2 linked regions of the Stegostoma tigrinum genome follow. The protein of the gene in region 1 binds, or shares a complex with, the protein of each later gene. Links are inferred from orthologs where the notes say so. Each region holds a gene or a part of one and is shown on either strand. Other genes may lie near its edges. The genes, in order: stx12 and vti1a.

The links.
Region 2: the proteins of stx12 (region 1) and vti1a are in contact, whole or in part, in a crystal structure (PDB 2NPS), measured with the Rattus norvegicus proteins. The link is inferred for Stegostoma tigrinum from reciprocal best matches to the Homo sapiens genes STX12 and VTI1A. Residues at the interface, in NP_075228.2 of Rattus norvegicus: Glu185, Ile188, Gln189, Leu191, Glu192, Ile195, Leu196, Val198, Asn199, Phe202, Lys203, Leu205, Ala206, Ile209, His210, Gly213, Ile216, Asp217, Glu220, Val223, Glu224, Ser226, Glu227, Val230, Glu231, Ala233, Ser234, Asp235, Leu237, Gln238; in XP_038945999.1 of Rattus norvegicus: Arg131, Arg134, Ser135, Arg138, Leu139, Ala141, Gly142, Ile145, Ala146, Glu148, Thr149, Ile152, Gly153, Met156, Asn159, Leu160, Asp163, Arg166, Arg169, Ala170, Arg173, Leu174, Glu176, Thr177, Asn180, Leu181, Lys183, Ser184, Ile187, Leu188.

The regions. Positions count from the first base shown.
Region 1 is NC_081377.1:38,843,490-38,854,236, forward strand, and holds the start of stx12 (syntaxin-12), read right to left. Parts: upstream 5,301-10,747; 5' UTR 5,193-5,300; exon of another isoform or gene 5,108-5,192; intron 4,946-5,107; exon of another isoform or gene 4,922-4,945; intron 1-4,921. UniProt on the Homo sapiens protein: SNARE promoting fusion of transport vesicles with target membranes. Together with SNARE STX6, promotes movement of vesicles from endosomes to the cell membrane, and may therefore function in the endocytic recycling pathway.
Region 2 is NC_081373.1:25,209,164-25,219,969, forward strand, and holds the start of vti1a (vesicle transport through interaction with t-SNAREs homolog 1A), read right to left. Parts: upstream 4,159-10,806; 5' UTR 3,834-4,158; coding exon 3,740-3,833; intron 1-3,739. Other genes in the region: palmitoyltransferase ZDHHC6, read left to right, coding at 4,998-5,294, 9,159-9,250. UniProt on the Homo sapiens protein: V-SNARE that mediates vesicle transport pathways through interactions with t-SNAREs on the target membrane. These interactions are proposed to mediate aspects of the specificity of vesicle trafficking and to promote fusion of the lipid bilayers.

The sequences.
Region 1 (10,747 bases):
GATAATCCCATAGATAGACAGATCCCTGTAAGAACTTTCCAAATACAGTACTTTGGAACTATCTGCAGGGCACAGATGTTCTGGTCAACATTTTATCCATAATCCTGTGAAGAACTTGTCATTCACTACTGGTCATAAGATTTTGTATACATGGTGGCTGCTGCATTCGATGGCAAATGAATCATTTAAAAAAGAATTCATGACCATCATATGACTACGTTGCTGTACTGTTGACTGCAGCAGTCCAAGAATCTCAAAGTTTTCAGGATAAATGTAGTATTTACTGTCCCATATTTTGCAATATTATGGATGATGAAACTGTCTACATTCATTGGCAATACTGCCATGTAACTGACAGCAACATCTGGAATTGCGTTTGTCTGGGATAACATTTAAATTCAGTCACTGACATTGATTCCACATTTTCAGACTGAAACACCCAGATTGCAATCAATGAGAAATCAACCGAGTAAACCAGAACTTCTCCTTTTACACTTTAGTCTTGCTGCAATTGCACAAAACTCTCTAGCTCTGAGAAGGTAATTGCGGAATGTCAAATTTCTCTCTAAACGATTAAAAGAACTACAAATTAAGAATTTCTGGAAAATAGTCCTGTCTAGCTTCCATCTAAATAGACATTTTGATTGGGACAACGCATCCATCCTAGGACAAGCCAAACAGAGACACGCACGAGAATTCCCAGAGGCATGGCATTCCAACCGGAACTCCATCAACAAACACATTGGCTCCAAATCAATCTACCATCCCCTGAGAAAAAGTACAAGAAATGACATCACCAATGCAGGAAATGACATCACCAACCCAAGGAAACCTAACCAGATAAACGGAAAGCCGGACATAACACCAGCACTTCGGAGGCTCACTGATGATGTTACCTAGAATGGTGACAAAACGTCTGAAAACTAACCTTCCAGCTCAGCGAGCAAACTCAAATCCAGATATTTTGCCATCTGAAAATTTAAAAGAATGCCAAGTAATTTTAACTTCCTGGTTTGATGCTGTCCAGAATATTTCAATGTGATTGGTTCACTGACTTAATTGGACCTCAACACATCCTCTGACTAGGCATCAGGTTGAAATTGTCAGGAAACTCGAGAGATCCTGGAAGGCAGCTTGCTTCAAGGTCAGCAGTGCATGCCTTTGCTTCACTAATGACCACAAAATCCAGACAATTCATGCAGCAAAGATTGTGTTTAGTAATTAAATAGTGAAATGAATTAGGCCATTTGCTGAAGCATCAATTTCACTTACAAAAAGTCAAAGCTGTACAGCACAGAAACAGACCCTTTGGTCCAACTCATCCATGCCAAACAGATATCCTAAATTAATCTAGTTCCATTTGCCAGCATTTGACATATACCTCCAAATCCCTCTAATCATATACCCATCCAAATACCTTTTAAATGTTGTCATTGTACCAGTCTCCACCACTTCCTGTCATTGCTCATTCCATACATGCACGACCCAGTGTGAAAAAGTTGCCCCTCAGGTCCATTTTGAACCTTTCGCCTCTCACCTTAAAACTTATGTCCTCTAGTTCTGGACTCCCCCACCCTGTGGGGAACACCGACTATTCACCCTGTTCATGATTTTATAAAATTCTACAAGATCATCCTCAGCCTCTGACCGTCCAGGAAAATTACTTCCAGCCTATTCAGCCTCTTCCTTTTAAATCTTTTCTGAACCCTTTCAAGTTTCACAACATTCTTCCTATAGGAGGGAGACCAGAATTGAACATATTATTCCAATATTTGTATGTAAAAATAGTGTTAAAAATGTGAATGCTGTGAAAGGTGCAATGAAGTTTCTTTTCAAAATCCGAGATGGAGACTATCACTGGCTATTGACTCCTGGTTGTCTACTCTAGATTTAGTCCTCTTGCAGACTTCATTTCTAGTTAGTTTCCCATTCCACCTATTATTTTTTCAGATTAAAACAAAGTGGAAAGGCCAAACAGTAACAAGTGATTCAGTTAGAACGGTTATCTTAGGATACCTATAGTGTGAAAGGAGGCCATTCAGCCCATCAAGTCCACACCCCTCCTCCAAAGAAAACCCCACACAGACCAACCCCCTACCCTATCCCTGTAACCCTGCATTTCCCATGGCTAATTCACCTCATCTGTAAAGACCTGGGCATTATGGGCAATTTAGCATGGCTAATCCACCTAACCTGCACTGTGGAAGAAAACCCATGCAAAGAGGGGGAAGGGGGTGGTGGTGGAGGCGGAGAGAACTTGCAAACTGCACACAGTAGCCCGAGGGTAGGATTGAACCTAGCTCCCTGGTGCCGAGACAGCAATGCTAACCACTGAACCACCACAGGTTATTATACAGGAGACTGCCAGTTAGCCACTTTGGGCAGCGTTGGAACTCTGGCACAGCAATTTTAGCTAGTCGCAATTCCTTGCCCTGTGGCCACCACAAACCCATCACTATGGTAAAATTGTCTCAGATTCCCTTTTCCTACTTTTAAACCAAGGAGCAAATGGCAACATGCTTGGAATGCACAAGTGCTACAATTCCAAAGGTGTATAGATAATTCAGAACAAATATTAATTGTTCCAACTGACAGCACGATATTCTGTTGTGTCGCCATAATACCTTTAAAAGATGGAACTTCGCGTGAAAAATTCAGCTGGTAACTCTCTACAGCAGTATACTTATGTAGTCACTTGTGAACAAAGTGAAAGTTCAATCTAAATGTGAACAGGACAACTTGGCAATTTGCTGCTACCAGGGCACATCTGTCAGATCTACGCTCAGTCTGCTTTACTTCCCTGACTGAAATGCTTTTCAATCCGTTGTAATGTGAAATTAAGAAAAGAATAATCACAGTTCAATTCACAACCTGTGCCAAATTAGCCAATCTCAATGAAAACAGTGGTTCATAAAGGAGATAATCAATCTAAATTCTCATTCCAAATCATTAACTAATGAAGTTCACTGTTAAATGTACACATCAAGGATGACAGAACAGGTGTCAGCTGTATATCTGAATCAAAACGATAAAGCAGAAGGCACTTTCAGGAAGGAAGGGAAATATAGGAAGAAAAGTCTTTATATTAAATGTTTGTGGTGTATTCATAAATACAGGATCTGGCAATCTACTTATGAATTCAGAGACCAGGAATGTGATCATTAACAACTTTGAAAATAAAACGATTGCAGCTATGTTTACCTAACAGTTCACACAGCATGACATATTGAAATACAGGAACAGTCCACTGACTTCAGTGTGATGTTCTTTCAACTCACTAGCGACAGCAGATTGTTTTCAGGCAATGCAACAGCCACATTCCTAAAAAAGAGGTAACTGCAGTAGTAACTGAAATAGTGCCATATTCTGGAGAATATGAATGATACAAAGGTATCTTTCCTGTTCTAATTATAACAGCTCATTTATAATTGCTCAAATGTGCTCTAATCTGGCTCACTAGTAGCAATGACAAGTATATTACATGTGTTGTTAACAGGATGAGTTTGGAGGCCAGTGGAAAACAGCCTTTTCTCATTCATGACTAATCATAAAAAATTAGTCAGTTAAGGATGATTCACCTTTCAAAAATGAGACAACTTGTTAAGAGACTAATAATAGAAGAGGTCTAGTTTGAATTAAATTTTATTGAAGACATTAAAAAAGGCCTTCTTAATACCACTATGAGTATGGCTACACCCAGAGATTCCAGAAGCAACCTAGCACTCTGATATAAGAAGGTGTAGAGCTGGATGAATACAGCAGAGGAGCAGGAAGGCTGACGTTTTGGGCCTAGACCATTCTAGGCCCGAAACATCTGCTTTCCTGTTCCTCTGATGTTGCCTGGCCTGCTGTGTTCATCCAGCTTTACACCTTGTTACCTTAAATTTTCCAGTATCTGCTGTTCCTACTATCTCTCGCACTCTTTCTACAGAGCAATTAGGGATGGACAACAAATGCTAGCCCAGCCAGTAGCACCCTGACTCTAAAATTTTTTGAAAATATAAAATACAACTTAACACCTAGGTCATTTAGCCACACCACAAATACATCCAAGTGGGCTGTCAGGGTTGAGGTGGTGCAATATCACATTTGAAAGAAGTCAAAATACTGGAAACAAAGTCCACAGTAACTGTCAAAGTTAAACGGTCATGCTTCAATAGAGCTAGTTCAACATCAATATTTGCCACATTTATAGGTATTAACAGCTTAGTTAGGGCCAATTATATTTTTTGCTGAGGCTGTGCTTGCTTGGATTAGACTGGCTACCATAATTCTCCAATTTGCCTTTTAAACATTCAGTAGTCAGACTGAATGGTCACAGACTCCCACCCAGAAACAGTGAATTATGCAAGCTTCAAAATGCCATCCTTGTGGGCAAGACAGCTCAATCCTGTATCCTACAGAACATCTTCACAAACTCATTAAAATTAACTTCTTTTATAACCACTTCATCAAGATTCCAAACAATGCCTCAGAGTCCAAACCTGAGTAGCACTTAGGTGTTACCTCTGCCCTTGAACTCTAAACAGTCATCCCCAACTCTGAATTCAAAATCAAAAATAGAAATTGCTGGAGAAATAGTTCTGAAGGATAACTAGACCCAAAACATTAACACTGTTTTCTCTCCACAGAGGCTGTCGTACATGCACATGTTTCCAGCAATGTCTGTTTGTGTTTCAGAGCTCCAGGATTTTCGGTTCTTTGTTTTAAGAAAAAAATAAGTATTGAAACCCTCGTCTCATTGACAGGTCCCTTCATGGCCACCGCCCACCATCCTCCATTGGAGTCCCTCCGCTTGCCCATACAATCCACCACACTCAACACTTCAATTTGGCCCTGGTGCTTCCTTTGGCTCCGTAAAGCAGTCAGGTTCGAACAGGTTATAAAGGGCGTTGGCTGCCTTTAAGTCGCCTTCACTCACGTTCGAGCATCGGCCCGGGCCAGGGCCAGGGCCAGGGCCAATAACAGCTGGGTAGCCCAGGGAGCTGCAAAATAATGTACCCCAACCGCCCCAGTGCGCAGGCGCCAGGTCACCTATCTCTATAGATACACTATTTGGCCCCGGTCAAAAAGTGTTGTCGACAACGGAAGAGTAAATAACACACACCTCCACCCAAGGCTGCCTGCTTTATCCGAGAGTTTCCTACCGCAGCGTATACCTTAACCAAAGGAGCGCCGCTCCCGACACCCACCGAAAGCCCCGACAAAATCACGTGAGCTTAACGTCACGGACGTGGTCACGCCCACTCGTGCGGGATGATGTCACCAGGAATCTGTCAATCACACCTTGGAGGCCATTCAGCCCATCCACACCACAGAAAGAGAGTGAGCCAGCGAGAACTCCAGATGCTGGGGTCAGAGACAATAAATATGTTATAAACCAGTCCTGATGAAGAGTCTAGGCCCGAAACGTCGACTCTCCTGCTCCATTGTGCTGCCTGACCTGTTGTGTTCGTCCAGCTCCACACTGTGTCGACTCCAGGAAGGAAGCTGGCTTCTGCTTTCACTTTCCCATGCTCTTGTCTGCAGGTAATCGTACCAGGACAGTCAGCTTGGATCACAAGCGCAAATTGCAGGAGAAACTGGGCTGGTCTGGAAGCATCTGCACGGAGAGAAACAAGTGTTAACGTTTCCAGTCCCGTGACCCTTCATCAGCACTCAACTCAGATTAGAGATAACAAAGTATGGAGCTGGATGAACGGAGCAGGAAAGCTGACGTTTCGGGCCTAGACCCTTTCATCACGGATTCTTAAGCATCTGCAGCTCCTATTACCTCAACTCAGATTAGAATTTAGTTGTGATTAAGGGTCATTGGAGTCAGAACATTAACTGTTTTCTGTCTCCACAGATGTTACTAGACCTGCTAAGTTTCTCCAGCAATTTTTGTTTTTGTTTCAGATTTTCATCATCCACAGTTCGTTGTTTAATTTCAATTAGCTTGGACGGCTGGTTTGTGATGCAGAATGATACTAACAGTATGGGCTCAATTTCTGCCCCCAGTTGGGGTTACCAATGAAGGGCTGTCCTTGCCCTGAAGGAGGGTCACTGGACTTGAAACATTAACTCTGTTTTTCTCCGCACATGCTGCCAGACCTGAGTTTCTCCAGCAATTTCTGTTTTTGTTTCAGATATTCTACGTCTGCAGATCTTTGCTTCATATGACCATTGAGGCCCTTCTCAATCTCACCTCTTGCCTGAGGCATGGTGACCCTCAGGGTAAACCATCTCCAGTCATCTCCCTCTAATGACAATGCTGCTCCACAGTCAAGTAGGACTTTGGTGATTTACCATTTACGAGAACGCTTTGCTGTCACAATAAAATCAAAACATTGCAAATTTCAGAAACCTGAAACAAACACAGAAAATACTGGTGAAACTCAGCTGGTGTGACAGCAACTGCAGACAAACAGTATTGCTGTTTCAAGCCCAATATGACTAATTCTTCCGGGGTTGGAAAATGATGGTTTTTATGTTTGTGACAGAGCACATCTCCAGCTGCTCATCTGTAAACACACTATGACATTATGATCCCACATGCTGAGCTTGACCGCTCTTTTTGCTGCACTTCATTTGTCCTCCAGAACATCTGAACATACATGAATTAGGATCAGATGTCATTCATTTGGCACCTTGAGGTTGCCCCAACATATTCATTTATATGATGTGGATGTTACTAAATGGCCAGCATTTACTGTCTATCCCTAACTACTCTTGAGAAGGTGTCTTGAACCTCTACATTAAACTGGTGTAGGTATACACACAGTGCTACTAGGAAGGTAGTTTCAGGAGTCTGTTCCAATTAGAGTTAAAAAAAAGTGATATAGTTCCATGTGAGGATGACCTGTGACTTGGAGGGGAGCTTGTCGGGGATGGTGCCCCCTTGTATCTTTTGCCTTTATTCATCTAGTTGTTGGGGGTCTTGGATTTGGAAGGTGTTGTTGTAGAAGGCTTGGTGAGTTGATGCACTACTTCTTGCAGATGGTGTACATTGCTGCTACTGAGCATTGGTGGTGGAGTTTAAATGGCTGGTTGGAATATCAATCATGTGGGCTGTTTTATTTTTGGGTGGTGTCAAGCTTCTTCAATATTATTGGAGTTGGAATCACCTAGGTGAGTGAAAAATATCCCATTACACTCCTGACTTGCACCTTGCAGATTGTAGATAGGCTTTGGGATCAGCTACTGGTTACAGAACTCTCAATTTCTGACCTGATAACATATTTTTGGGGTTGTTCAGTTCAGTTTCTGGTCAGTGTTGACTTCCAGGATGTCAACAGTGGCAAAATCAATATTAGTAATGCCATTGTACATCAATGGGTAAAAGTTAGATTCTCTTGTTAGAGATAGTCATTGCCTTGTGTGGCACATAAGTTAATTTCAACTTATGAGCACAAATATGGATGATGTTCAGATCTTGGTGCATATGGTCATGGACTATTTTAGTTTCTGAGGAGTCATGACTGCCGCTGAACCTTATGTCATCATCACCAAACATCTCTATCTCTGACCTTATAATGGAAGGGAGGTCCCTATTGAAGCAACTGATAGTGGTTGGGACTGGAACACGACTCTAAGAGACTTCTGCAGCAATTTCTCAGGACTGTGATGATTCACTTCCATCAACCACAATAATTTTCTTTTGTATAAAATTTTATCACAGCTAATCTGACTGTGGCTGAAGTCAACTTTCCTGTTTACCCTGATAATCATTGACTCCTATTGTCAATCAAAAATCCACCTAACTCAGCCTCATTTTGTATTCATTTGTGGGATATGAGCATCACTGGCTGGCCAGCATTTCTTCCCCATCTGCAATTGCCCTTGAGAAGGTGGTAGTGAACTACTTTCTTGAAGGGCTACAGTCCCCTGGCGTGAGTTGACCCACAATGCCATTAGAGAAAGAATTCCAGGATCTTGACCCACTGACAGTAAAGGAATGGCAATATATTTCCAAATCAGGATGATGGGTGGCTTGGAAAGGAACTTGAAGAAGGTGGTGTTCCCATGTCTCTACTGCCTTTGTCCTTCTAGATAGAAGTGATCCTGGGTTTAGAAGGCACTGCCTGAGGATCTTTGGTGAATTTCTGCAGTGTATCTTGTAAATAGTACACACTACTGCTACTGAATGTCAGTGGTGGAGGAAGTGGATGTGGTGCCAATTAGGCAGGCAGCTTTGTCCTGGATGTTGTCAAGCTTCTTGCGTGTTATTGGAACTGCATGGATCCAGACAAGTGGAGACTATTCTATCACACACCTGACATGTGCCTTACAGATGATGGACAGTTTTTGGGGAGTCAGGAGTTACTCACTACAGTATTCTTTGCCTCTGACCTGCTTTAATAAGTCACCGTATTTATGTGCAAGTCCAACATGTTGATAGTGGGGTTTCAGTGATGGTAACACCATGCATGTGAAGGGCAATGGTTAGACGTCCCCATATTGGCAGTGGTCATTGTCTGGCATTTGTGTGGTGCAAATGTTATTTGCTAAGTGTCAGCCTAAAACTGGTTATTGTCCCGATCTTGTTGCATTTGAACTTAAAATGAATATTCAATGACTCTGCCTACACCACTTTATTGGGAAAAGATTTTCACAGACTAATGACCCTCTAAAAGAAAAGCTTCCCTGTCGTCATCATCTTAAACTATATCTTCTAATCTTTGTTTCTCCCCATAAGGGAAAACATCATCCACCCTGTCACGTTCCCTCAAGGAGAGATCCCTATTGTTTTCCAGCTCTGATCAACTGACAAAAATACCGACAATTTCCCTCCCTAAATGTCATTTTTTGGGGTTCTTTTTGACGTTACATTTTCAAGCACCCCTTTATTTGACTATAAATGGAATTTTAGGCACATATCCTCACATCCTCATTTCAAAGATCACTGTTTCCTTCCACAGATCTTTAAGTATTGTTTGAGTTTCTGATGCATACAGAAAGTTGGGTAAGAACTCTTAGTTTCTTTTCTTGCTCAAATTTTCTTATTTTTGGCTCCTTTTCCCATAGTCCTGCAATTTTTTTCTCATCAAAGGATTTATCCAATTCTGCTTTGTAGGTAGTCTTGGCTCTGTAAAGCCAGTCACTTTCTCCTTCCCAGCATTGCCAACCCTCTAAGATTTTCCTAGTTGTTGTGGGGGAGGATTAGATCTGCCAGAGATGGGATAGATAGGGGGCCTGTTAGCAGGAGCACAGCTATTGTAACTCAGAACTCCATGGCAGCTATCACTGCCATGGAATATGTAACCCATAAACTTCATCCTGTTACCCTATTTAGGAAAGCCCTGGGGAAATTAAAAATACGGATTTTTTTTTAAAAGAGAGTGCTATTCTTCAATAACTTGTCAAAATATTAATGATAAGTCTGATTGACTGGTTGGAGCAGTTAAAAACAGGTCACAAAATCTCTAATGACATGTAAAAGCCTACTCATTCTTTATCACAAAAATATTAACTAAAGTAAAAACATATACATCTGGACGGAGGGGTGCAGAAATATTAGAATTTTAGGTGTGAATTTTGAGAATTTGCTGCTTATTCAAACATGACCTGAGTTGCAAAACCGCAGACTCTCAACACCACAAAGATCACTTATTTCAACCTTTGCCTGTCTGGCTGTTCTGCAGCATGGCTAGGTTCCAGGTTATTACAATGAGACTAGGAGGGATAATTGACTCTGCTCTTTTCAACCTCCTTTTCAGCTGCAACAAATGCTTGAAATTATTTTGTAACCCAAGGCCATGTCTCTAATAAAATGTAGTTACCCAATGTCCACTGTATCAGTAGGAGGGCTAGGTTGGCTCAAGTGGCCGGATTGCTGGCTTGCACTGCAGTGGTGCCAACAGCGCAGGTCCAATTCTTACACCAGTTGAAGGTACCATGAAAATTCCACCTTCTCAACAACTCCCCTTGCTTAAAGCATTGCAACTCTTGGGTTAAACTCACCAGCAAGCAACTTTTTAATGAGCATACAGTCCTCTGGGACTGTGGTGACTTTACTGAGTCAGCAAGAAGGCACTTACTAGTCTTACTTGAGGAAAAGAAAGCAATCTTATTATCTGCTAAATTCAAGAAAAGTAATGAAAATGCAGCATAAATCTATTTATGGAATTGATAGGGGGCCTGTTAGCAGGAGCACAGCTATTGTAACTCAGAGCTCCATGGCAGCTATTTAGGTACACATAGGTACAAGGTGAAAGAAGGAACATGCAGTTTAAAATCCTGGTGTTCTTGAGGCGTATGGTTTTCACCATGGGTTGTATAATTAATTGCTTACATTCTCAGCAGTAGCCAATCTTTTAGTTGTTCTTTCTCAATGGTCAGATGCTTCTTTTTTAAATTAGTTGTGTGACCAGGCACTTTCCTTCTTGAGAGGCTGACAGCACTTTCTCCAGTTGATTCCAGTTGCAGTCAAAAATCTATCTCCCCTGCTTTGACAAAAACAGCTCTTTGGAGCACCTTTTGCATATTCTGTTTGTGGAAGTTTCTACAGGTCTGCTAATTGGAAGCAAGTTTCAATCTTCAACATGTGAAAAATTTGTGTAAACATGTAAATAAAAATAGAAGGTAAGGGTTTCTTTACGTCTGAGTTGACTGGTTTCAATAGCTTTTAAACAAACGTTAATTTTGGTTCCAGCAGTGTTGGTTTCATGATATTTGAAAATTGGCATGAAAGCAACTGCTATCTATTAAGAGTTAACAATCAACAGCTCTAAAGAGAAAATCACTTACCAAACAAACAAACCAAAAC
Region 2 (10,806 bases), on another chromosome or scaffold:
GTGAGTCTTGTCATTTCTAGGAATAGAGAAAATAGCCAAGTCTTCTCCTTCTAAAGAGCTTTCTGCTGTTCCAAGCTACCTGTTAAAGACAAAATAGAAGATTTACAAGGATGCTTCCAGAATTCAAGGGTTGGAACTAAGGGAGAGGCTGAATCGATTAGGGCTATTTCCCTAGGGCATTGGAGGCTGAGGGGTGACCCTATTGAGGTTTATAAAAATCACAGAAGCACAGATAAGGTAAATAGGCAAGGTCTTTCCTGAGGTGGAGGAGTCCAAAATTAGAGGGCATGGGCTTAAGGTGAGAGGGGAAAGATTTCATAGAATCCCTAGTGTGGAAACGGGCCCTTCGGCCCAACAAGTCCACACCGAACCTCAGAGCATCCCAGCCAGACTCATCCCCCTATAGCCCACCTAAGCTACACATCCCTATGGGCAGTTTAGCATGGCCAATTCACCTAAACTGCACATGTTTGGATTTAAAAGGGATCTAAGGGGCAACTTTTTCACAGAGAGGGTGGTGCGTGTGAGGAATCAGCTTCCAAAGGAAGTGGTGGGCACTGGTACAACATTTAAAAGGCATCTGGATGAGTATATAAATAATAAGGCTTTAGAGGGATATGAGCCAAATGCTGGCAAATGGGGCTAGATTTATTTAGGATATCTGGTTAGCATGGACAAGTGGACTGAAGAGTCTGTTTCTGTGCTGTATATCCCTATGACCATATGACTCTAAATGCATTAGATATGATGGGTAAAGGGATCTCACTGCTAAATAATAACTGAACAGTAAATGTAAAATTCTTAAATTTTGCTTCACGCTATGGTCAAAATAAAGGAGTTTCTTTGCCGCATTCAGGACTATAAAAATATGCAAAGTGAATGGGTCATAAGGGTTCGTAAACTGGATTAATAAGTTTGCAGATGACACTAAAGTCGGTGGACTGGTGGACAGTGTGAAAGAATGTTGCAGATTGCAGGCTGACTTGGATAACCTGCAGAATTGGGCTGAAAGGTGGCAAATGGAGTTCAATGCAAATAAATGTGAGGTGATTCACTTTGGGAAGAATAATAGGAAGGCAGAATACCGAGTCAATGGAAAGATTCTTGGTAGTGTGGATGTGCAGAGGGATCTTGGTGTCCATATACATAGGTCTCTGAAAGCTGCCACCCAGGTTGATAGTGCTGCTAAGAAGGCATACGGTGTGTTAGTTTTTATTGGAAGAGGGATTGAGTTCCGGAGCCGTGATGTCATGCTGTAACTGTACAAAACGCTAGTGCGGCCTCACTTGGAATATTGCGTACAGTTCTGGTCGCTCCATTACAGGAAGGATGTGGAAGCATTGGAAAAGGTGCAGAGGAGATTTACCAGGATGTTGCCTGGTCTGGACCGAAGGCCTTATGAAGAAAGGCTGAGGGCCTTGGGTCTGTTCTCATTGGAGAGAAGGAGGCTAAGAGGGGATTTAATAGAGACAATCAAGATGATCAGAGGATTAGATAGAGTGGACAGTGAGTCTTTTTCCTTGGATGATGACGTTGGCTTGTATGAGGGGGCATAGCAGCAAATTGAGGGGTGATAGATTTAAGACAGATGTCAGAGGCAGGTTCTTTACTCAGAGAGTGGTATGGGTGTGGAACGCCCTGCCTGCCAATGTAGTTAACTCAGCCACACTAGGGGCATTTAAACAGTCTTGGATAAGGATATGGATGATGATGGGATAGTGTAGGGGGATGGGCTTAGATTAGTTCACAGGTTGGTGCAACATCAAGGGCCAAAGGGCCTGTTCTGCGCTATCAGGTTTACCTCACCAAATCAAACTTCTCAATCTCCTGGGAAAGGCATGTTAAGGTCTCACGTTAAATTAGCAACACTCCAGAACATGAACGCAACTTTGGGAATCTTTAATAAGTTAAATTCAGCAATGTGTTATAGACACAGCAGAACCTGTTGTTTACCTGATCACGTGTCTCGACTTAATTAAGTAGATATTTATTAAATATGTTTAAAGGAAGTGAACAAGATAATGTTAACTTATTTCCAGGAAAACTACTCTGCTTCATTTTCACTAAACTCTGGGGGAAAATGCTGATATTCTAATGTTTAAGATAATTAAATATCTAAAATAGACTCAAGATAGCGGCATCGGCAGAGTAGGTAGGTGGTCGGGCTCCTCAGTCAGTCTCCAGACTGGCGGCATGCTTCTCTCCCCCTCTCCTTTTCATTTCTTTTTCCTTTTTCTTTTTCCCCTTCATCTTTGAGGTCAGAGTGGTGTTAATAGGAGGGGTAGCTGCAGCATGGATTGAGATTTTTGGCAGCAACAGCAGTGTCCAGAGCAGAGACACCTGATGACGAAAGGCCCAGAGCAAGGACCCCTAGCTGCGGTAATCCCAGAGCCTGGACTCTTAGCTGTGTCCGGAGCAGGGACTCTTTGCTGTGTCAACGAGGTGATGGCAGCAGTGGAGCTAAGGTCTCCTGGAGCACTGGCATTGCTGTATCCAGAGCAGGGTCTCATGGGGCTCAGAACATCTTGCAGAAACCATGGTGCCATGCTTGAGACCCAATTTGAACAGAAGATGAACTCTATTTCAGTAATTTCTTTTTATTCTTTTTGCAGCTCAAAATATCACCAAGTTGTGACAATGAAACACTTTCCCCTATATCTTCCCAGATGTGATAATAAAATCATTCATTCGTATTTGCCTTTGCTTGAAACTAATTAAATAAAAAGTATAAATACATATTATCCTGTCATACACACCTCAAAACGTTTACTCTCTTCACAGATACTACATGACTTGCTGAGTACTTTCTACATTTTGTTTACACTTCAGCGTTCTAACATCTGTAATCAGATTAGACATGCATTTCAATTAAAGTAAACAAATACATCACATCCATGCTTAACTATCTCTTCCCAAGTAAAACCAAATTCAGTTTAGATATTTTCTTCTGAAGAAAATAATTGATCCTTAATTTCAACAGGGGATGGGGCCTTTATCATAGAAGTCACTTACCCACATGCCTACCCTGAAATGTCACCGCCCTCTCCCAACCCTCATCCATGTCCTGATACTAATATGTCGTTCTGAGCAAGCAATTAGGACACCCACAGGGAGAAAGCCCAAGCCTCCTTTTAAAAATGCAGATCTGTAATTTCAACCAAAGATCCAAAGAGACATTAGATTTGCAACAACAAATGTTCTGCCTCCACAGATGTTCCTGGACCTGTTGAATTTCTTCAACACTTTCTGCTTTTGTTTCAGATTCTAAAAAAATGTCCTCAGAAACGACAGGTTAAGGAGTGGGGTAAAATAAACCAGATTAACATTTCTGACTGTTAGCCTGCATTTTCTACTCAAAAGTAGCCATGTACGAATGCTGAGCGAGTAGAAGTTTCGGTCTTACTGTGATGTTCTGTCTAGATGATAGGGTGCGTGTCAACACACTCTGACTGTGTAAATACAACCCACTTCAATGCAGTTCGTTCAACTCTAATTGCTTATGAATAATTAACACCGTTGCTCTCAAATCAACCTTGCCTTCCGATCGCTCAACACCTACTTCTGTTTCTACATAAAAAGGCTTCGAACTGTAAAATTCGTTTCTTTTTAATATCGCATTTAAGACATCATCAGAATGCGAAACCAATCCCTGGACGACGAGGTTCAGTCATCCTTCAGCTCTGTCTCCTCAACACCGATCAAACACGAAAAGTGTTTTCCAGCAGAACAGCCTCCCTACCTCCTGACAGTTTCGGTATCCTCCCCACTTTATTGGTGATCTCTGCTGTCAAGGTGCCGAAATCCTGCTCGTAAACCTCGAAATCCGAGGACATTTTCTGTGAGACTGACAGCGGTCGAAGAGTTTAAAGTAGGAGCAGCGGCCGCTTCCTCTACTCGCTCGCTGTGCCGCCCGGAAAGTCCTTCCCCCACCAACTGCCCAGCATTTGGTAGAGAGAGAGAGAGACAGATCGGAAAGTCTGCTGTCTTTAAACACTTATAGATGGAAAGGGGCTGAAGAAGTTTCGACCGGAGTGGTCGCGAGTGAAAATCAAGAGAAAGTCTTCTCCCCGATAAGTTTTGTTTTATTATTTATAAAAATGTGAGCCATGGCGGGGGAGGCGGTTGTGGGTGGCACCGGCGGAAGTGGCGGGTTTACGGTGACGGTTGGTGGCTGAAGGGAAAGAAGAAATAAAACTTTTAAACTATTCCGCACCCCCCCCCCTCCCCCGAGAGGGAAATTAGCTCCAGGATTGGAATTAACACGCTGCCGTCATATTTTAAATCGGTGACTTCCACTTGCGGGTATCCGGCCTGTCACCGGCCCAGTCCGCCCTCCCTTCCTCCATCTCGGGTTGATAGGGATACCGGCCAGGGCTTCGCACCTTGAACACCCGCCCGGTTAACCCCCTCTGTCTGATCATGTTTAATCTCCAGGAACCGCCCTCCTCCTGGAGTTATCAAAGACACAATATGCTTCCGGGGCACGAATGCAGCCAGACGGAAGGAGGAAGCTGTGTGGCGGTTTTGGGGACATGGATGGCAGTCGAGCTAACGTTTGGCTGCTCCCGTTTCTCTGACTCTCTGACATCCAGGCCTCTGGTTACTCCTCAGGCCAGCTCCAGCCGCAAGCAGCCAGAATCTGTGTTTTCTTCTCTATCCCCGTAAGTAATTGACTGAATCAAGGTCTTGATTATAAGGGTGGAGTTGTGTTTTTTTTACTTCAGCTCTAAACATACTTCACTCTTTTTATATCCCACTAGGATATCTTTTTGAGGACACCGCATGAGAAGCTTCAAGCTCATACAGAAGCACTGCATCTAAAGTAATATCATGGGGAATTTACTGGAGGTGAAAGTTGCGGTTCACAGAATTTGTTCAAAACTCTCCCTATTTATCAATCAAAAGTGATCCCTGCTTTTTTTCTGGATGCAAGAATTATTCATTGCCTGACTCTTACTTCCATTAAGTGTAACTGTGTGCATTATGATGGTTGCTGCATGTTAACTGAAGAGTATTGCTGTCTTCAATCAAAGACAATGTGTTCATTTATAAAATTTGAAAATTTACATGAATTGAAAAGAATTTGTCACTGGGGTCCAATTATAGCCCTGTCAGTTATTACAATATGTTCCTCCATGGCCATTATAGACTCAGTACTTTGGTATTGGCCTCTTGACACTCCTGGTGGAAGCATAAATTTCATTTTATTGATAAACTGGACAGTTCTTATACTTTACAACTACTTTAATGCAATGTTTGTTGGTCCTGGCTATGTTCCAATTGGATGGAAACCGGTAAGATGATGTTTGCTCTTTCTCCCTAATTTTTTTTTCTTGTCAAATGTTAAATTTACAATGGCTGTAAAGAGCTGAAAGGAGATAACTATTACAAGATTTCTACAACACATGTAACGCTAACTCTTTGGTTGTGTGTCTGATATAATGGTGATTAAATTAGATGAGAGTAGAGATCAGGGTTCTTTGAACATACGTTTTGAGTGGTAAGTCTTTGCTGTTTGATGCTCCTAGCAATCATTACAGCCATTTAACACATGAGTCATCTAAGCTTGCTACTATATTGCAAACTTGCCCATCTTGGTGATAACACATTGATTTTCTGCCTAGTCTGACAATTTTTGACTGAAGAATTAGTAAACTTGTCCTGATTTTTCATATTTAGTTCCCAGTCTGTCAAGTTTTACTGTTTGTGGCCAACTGCTCACTAATCACAACCAATAACTTAGATAGCAGTTTCAAATATTTTTGCAAAGCAAGTTCTCTGCAGTGACAGCCCTGTGAAATGTTCAGTGACATAACCTCCTAATTAATTTGCTGTATCCCAGCTGAGACCAGCAGGTTGCCTCATGTGGCTCAATCCCCCTTGTACTCAGTTCAGTGTCTTGGGGTTTGAACAGAGCTTCCCCAAGGTTGCAAAGGAGACAGGCAACCACAGCAGTATTTCACAATTGGCCAACAAGCTACTCAATATGTTGTGGAGAAACACCAAAAAGGGGAAAGATGAACAATACCAGAAATTGTTGGAAAAATTCAGCAGGCCTGGCAGCATCTGTGGAGAGAAAGCAGAGTTAATGTTTCAGTTTCAGTAAACCTTCTTCAGAACTGATTGAAAGTAGGAAAAATTTGATATTTGTGCTAGAAAGGAGATTGGGTTAGGGGAAAAAGCCTAAAGAATAGGTAGAAATGGAGCCTATATAGAGAGGAAAAACAGTTGGGCAGGCAAAGAAATGTGGGTACAGGTCATCCTGGAAGAATCTGTACCTGCTAATGGGATCCATTAGTGATTGACTTTAGGTTGTGTGGGGTAGGATTCTACATGACAGCCCGGTGTGTGGGGTTGAGGAAAGAAGATGGAATAAGGTGCTAAGACCCTAAACGTTATTGAACAATATATTGTATCCAGAAGGTTGCAGAGTTCCCAAGCAGAAAATGAGGTGGTACTCTTTCAGTTCATGCTGAACTTTGCTCAAGCATTGTAGGAAACCTGAGACAGAAATGTTGGGCTGTGAAGATAGTGTGTCGAAATGGCAGACAATTGGAAGCTCTAAGCCATTTTTGTCGACAGAATGTAGGTATTCTGCAAAGCAGTCATCCATTCTACACTTCCCCTCCCCAGTGTAGAGGAGACCATGTTGTGAGCAGCGAATACAATAGACTAGAATGAGTGAAGTACTGCTTCGCCTGGGAGGTGTGTGGGGATACTGAGGAGGGAGGCAGTAAATGACCAACTGTTACCCCTCCTGCGATTGCAAGCAAAGGTACTGTAGGAGTCGGGGGAGATATTGGGAGCATGGGAGGACTGAACTAAGATGTCTCTGAGGGAACAGTCCCTGCAAAAGGCTGGCAAGGAGATTGAGGGAATTGTGTCTCTGGTGTTGGCATCCTGCTGGAGGTGGCGGAAATGCGGCTGATGATCCTTTGGGATGTAGACATCGGTAGGACAATAGGTGAGGACAAGACGGGGGGGACCCTTGCACTCCAATGGGAGGGAAGATGCACTTGGGGCTGAAGTATAGGAATGGGTTGGACCCTGCTGAGGGCCCTGTCAATCACAGTGCTCGAGAAGTCATTGGTTGAGGAAGAAGATAAATGTATCAAAGGGCTCCTTGTCAAAGTTGGCATCATCAGGAAAGATGTGATGAAGTTGCAGGAAGTGGGGGAATGGAAGAGAGCCGACAAGAAGCAGAGTGAGGGTGTGTAGTTGAGGTTATCATGGGAGTCAGTGGGTTTGTAGTGGATGTTGATGGCCAGCCTGTCCCAAGAAATGAAAACAGATGTCATGGAAAGATGGGCTAGGTGAAGGTGAGAGCAGAGTAGAACTTGGAAGCAAAATTGGTTAGTTTTTCCAATTCTGGATGGCAAAGGAAAGCAGCACTGATATTAATATACTGGAAAAAGAGTTGTAGGTGCATGCCAGTGGAATAGGAACAAGAAATGTGCACATGCAGGTAGAAGTGGCCATCCCTTGGACCTGAGGAAAGTGGAAGGATTGACAGCAGAAGTTGTTCAAAGTGAGGACGAGCTCAGCAGATGGAGGAGGGTTGTGGTGGTAGATGGGGACAATTCAGGCCTTTTCTCCTAGAATGAGTGGTGGAGAGCCCTGAGTCTATCCTGATGGAGGATGGACACATAAAAGGATTGCATATCCATAGTGACAAGGCAGCTGGAGCCCACAAACCGGAAATTCTGAAGCTGACATAAAGCATCAAAAGTAAGATATTTCACTCCCAAAAATAGAGTAATAAACCATTAGCTCCGAGAGTTCCATACTAAGTTCTCTGGGAATAAAAAGAAATTTTGTAAACTTTTTTTATTGTAACACCATCTCTGAAAACGCAGCAGAAGGGGGAACAGATGTACTTGTTTAAATATAATTCACAGGATAAACTCGGAGTAGAAAATCTCTCCCCTCCCCCACTCCAGTGGGACTGTCCGTTCTTTCCACTCTAGCAGTTAGACACACCATTGTTCTGCCATTCTGGCGTTCCTATCGCTTAATTTGAACTATCCATGTCCTTTCTCCTCCCGCACACCAGCAACCTCTGCCCTCCCCCTCCCCAAACAAGGCATTGCATAAATGCTGCCCTTCCATACTTCACTTCAAGTTTGTTGAAGACTCGAAACATTAGCTTGCTGTCTCCACAGTTGCTACCGAACTCACTGTGATCTCCAGCATTTTTTGTTTTCCGTACAGATACCAGCATCTGCAGTAATTTGCTCCAATGTTGTGTGCCACTTTTGTTTTCCTATCTCTGCTTTATTTTTGCATTAATATTTCTGCAATTCATCTATCATGATGTTTTTGTCTTCTCTTACAATCGTAGAATCCCCATAATGTGGAAACAGGCCATTTGGCCCAACAAGTCCACTCCAACACTTTGAAGAGCATCCCACCCAGACCCACTCCCCTACCTTATCCCTGTAACCCTGCATTTCCTGTAGCTAATGCACCTAACATACACACCCCAGGACACTATGAGCAATTTAGCGTGGCCAATCACCTAACTTGGACATCTTTGGACTGTGGACAGGTCCTGGAGCACCTGGAGGAAACCCACACAGACTCAGAGGGAGCGTACAAACTCCACACAAGCAGACAGTCACCCGAGATGGGGATCAAACCCAGGCCCCAGGTGCTGCGAGGCTGCGGTGCTAACTACTGAGCCACCACTTAGAACAAATACAATGCCTAAGGGGCTTGCTGAAACAAATGTGTAAAAGTCTGAACAGATATTAGACCAACTGGTCTATTATTTCTTCGCAAGTGTCTCCTTATCTCATTTGGATCTGAACTTATACCACACTGAGCTACATTGCTTATGTAGGTCGCCTGGTTCCTAATCCACACCATCCTCAATCATCTGTTGCAGTAACTGAAATCTGTTAGTAAATCTACTGAGAATGCTATGTATGTTTGTCCTACTTTGACATGTAACTTTGTTATGTAAGATAACATTTCTGATGATGCAGGCAATTAGTAACACAAAGCAAACAGCACCTTCTCTCGCACTGTCCTCACTCTCTTTCACAGACACAGACACAATAACTGAACCATTCATCCTCTTTGCATGTAATCAGTTTCTATATTCTTATACTGAAATCAACTATGATTGTTGTAATTAGCTACTTGTTCTGTTCAAGGACAACCCTCAGGATACAATGTATCTTCAGGACTGCAGAATCTGTCAAGGTTACAAGGCACCACGGTCCCATCATTGTCGTAAATGTAACAGGTATGGTTGGACTAGTTTACACAGAAAAACACAAATGTAAGATCTTGTTTTATACAGCTTGGCAATATTTTGAAATTAAGGAACATCTTCCAACAAGAGAGCTATTTCAGTCCTTTTGTTGAAAACATTCTTGTTGCTGTTTCTACTTTTGTTCTTTTTCTTAGAGGTTCTTATAAAGAGTTCAGAATTAACATAATCAGGTAACGCAAGGTTTGTTTGTGGGCTTTGTGATGGTAAAGATCAATTTTACACCCAGTGGCAGATGGCATTTGTCACCTCCAAGATGAGGTATGATGCATTCACACTAAATATAAAAATAGAAAAACTCCAGCTACAATCTGCAATATCAAAGAAGTACGGCACATATTGTCAGCATCTGAAAAGATAAGTCACTATTTGATAGAGATAGTAGGAACTGCTGATGCTGGAGTCTGAGATAAAGGTTCGCACCCGAAACGTCAGCTTTCCTGCTCCTCTGATGCTGCCTGGCCTATTGTGTTCACCTAGCTCCACACCTTGTTATCACTATTTAATACTTTACGCGCAAATACCTTGTCTAAATTAACTTGTCTGTTTAGATATCGACTGACTGTAGTGTATTTGCAGCTATTTTCCATTCAGACTGATACAGTTTAGTAAACTTTAACCCTTCCCAATTTAACCAAATTGCATTGCTTATAGTTAGAAGATAAATGTATGCAACTAGATTATAATTGTTACATCCACTGTAATATTCACTAATTCATGTAATGGGTTCAAGAATTGAATCGCACTGAAATGCTTTCAGTAACTTTTACATTTTGTGTTTAAATTTTATTGCAATTCATTGGCATCATTTTAAAGCTCTGTAGTTCCATTAAAACATATGTGCATACCTATGAATTGGGAACAGGAGTGGCCACTCGGTCGCTAAATCTAGCTCCAACATTCAATAAGATAAAGGCAATCTGATTAGTCCATGTACCCCTGGTAAACATTTACTTGTCACAACTTGTTTGCCAAGAATCTATGTATCTCTGTCTTAAAAATACCAAAGAAATTTGCTTCCACAGCCTTTTGTGGAATGAAGTTCTAAAGACTCAGTACTCTGACAAAATATTTCTTCTTATTTGTGTTTTAAATGGTTGATCATTGGCACTGCTCGCATTGAACCAATGACCCGTAATTCTAAATTGTCCCACAAGAAGAAACATCCTTTTCACATGCGTCCTATCGAGACCTCTCTCAGGATATTGTATGTTTTAATCAGATCACTGTGGGATGTGCTTCCTGTTTCATCTAGTAAACATTCTCTGAACTGTTTCAATGCAATTACATCCTTTCATAAATAAGGAAACCAATGTTGTAAACAGTAACAAGGTAAAATCAACCTGCTGAAAAGTCCTCCTCCATTAAATGTGGGGGAGTAGTGCCAAAATTGGGAGAACTGTTTCATAGACTAGTTAGCAACAGCAACATAATCGTACTCAATGTCCCAGATACTGTCACCATCCCTGGATATGCCAAGTCCCACCACCAGGGTATCCCCAACAAAGGTAGCAGCATAGTGGTATACC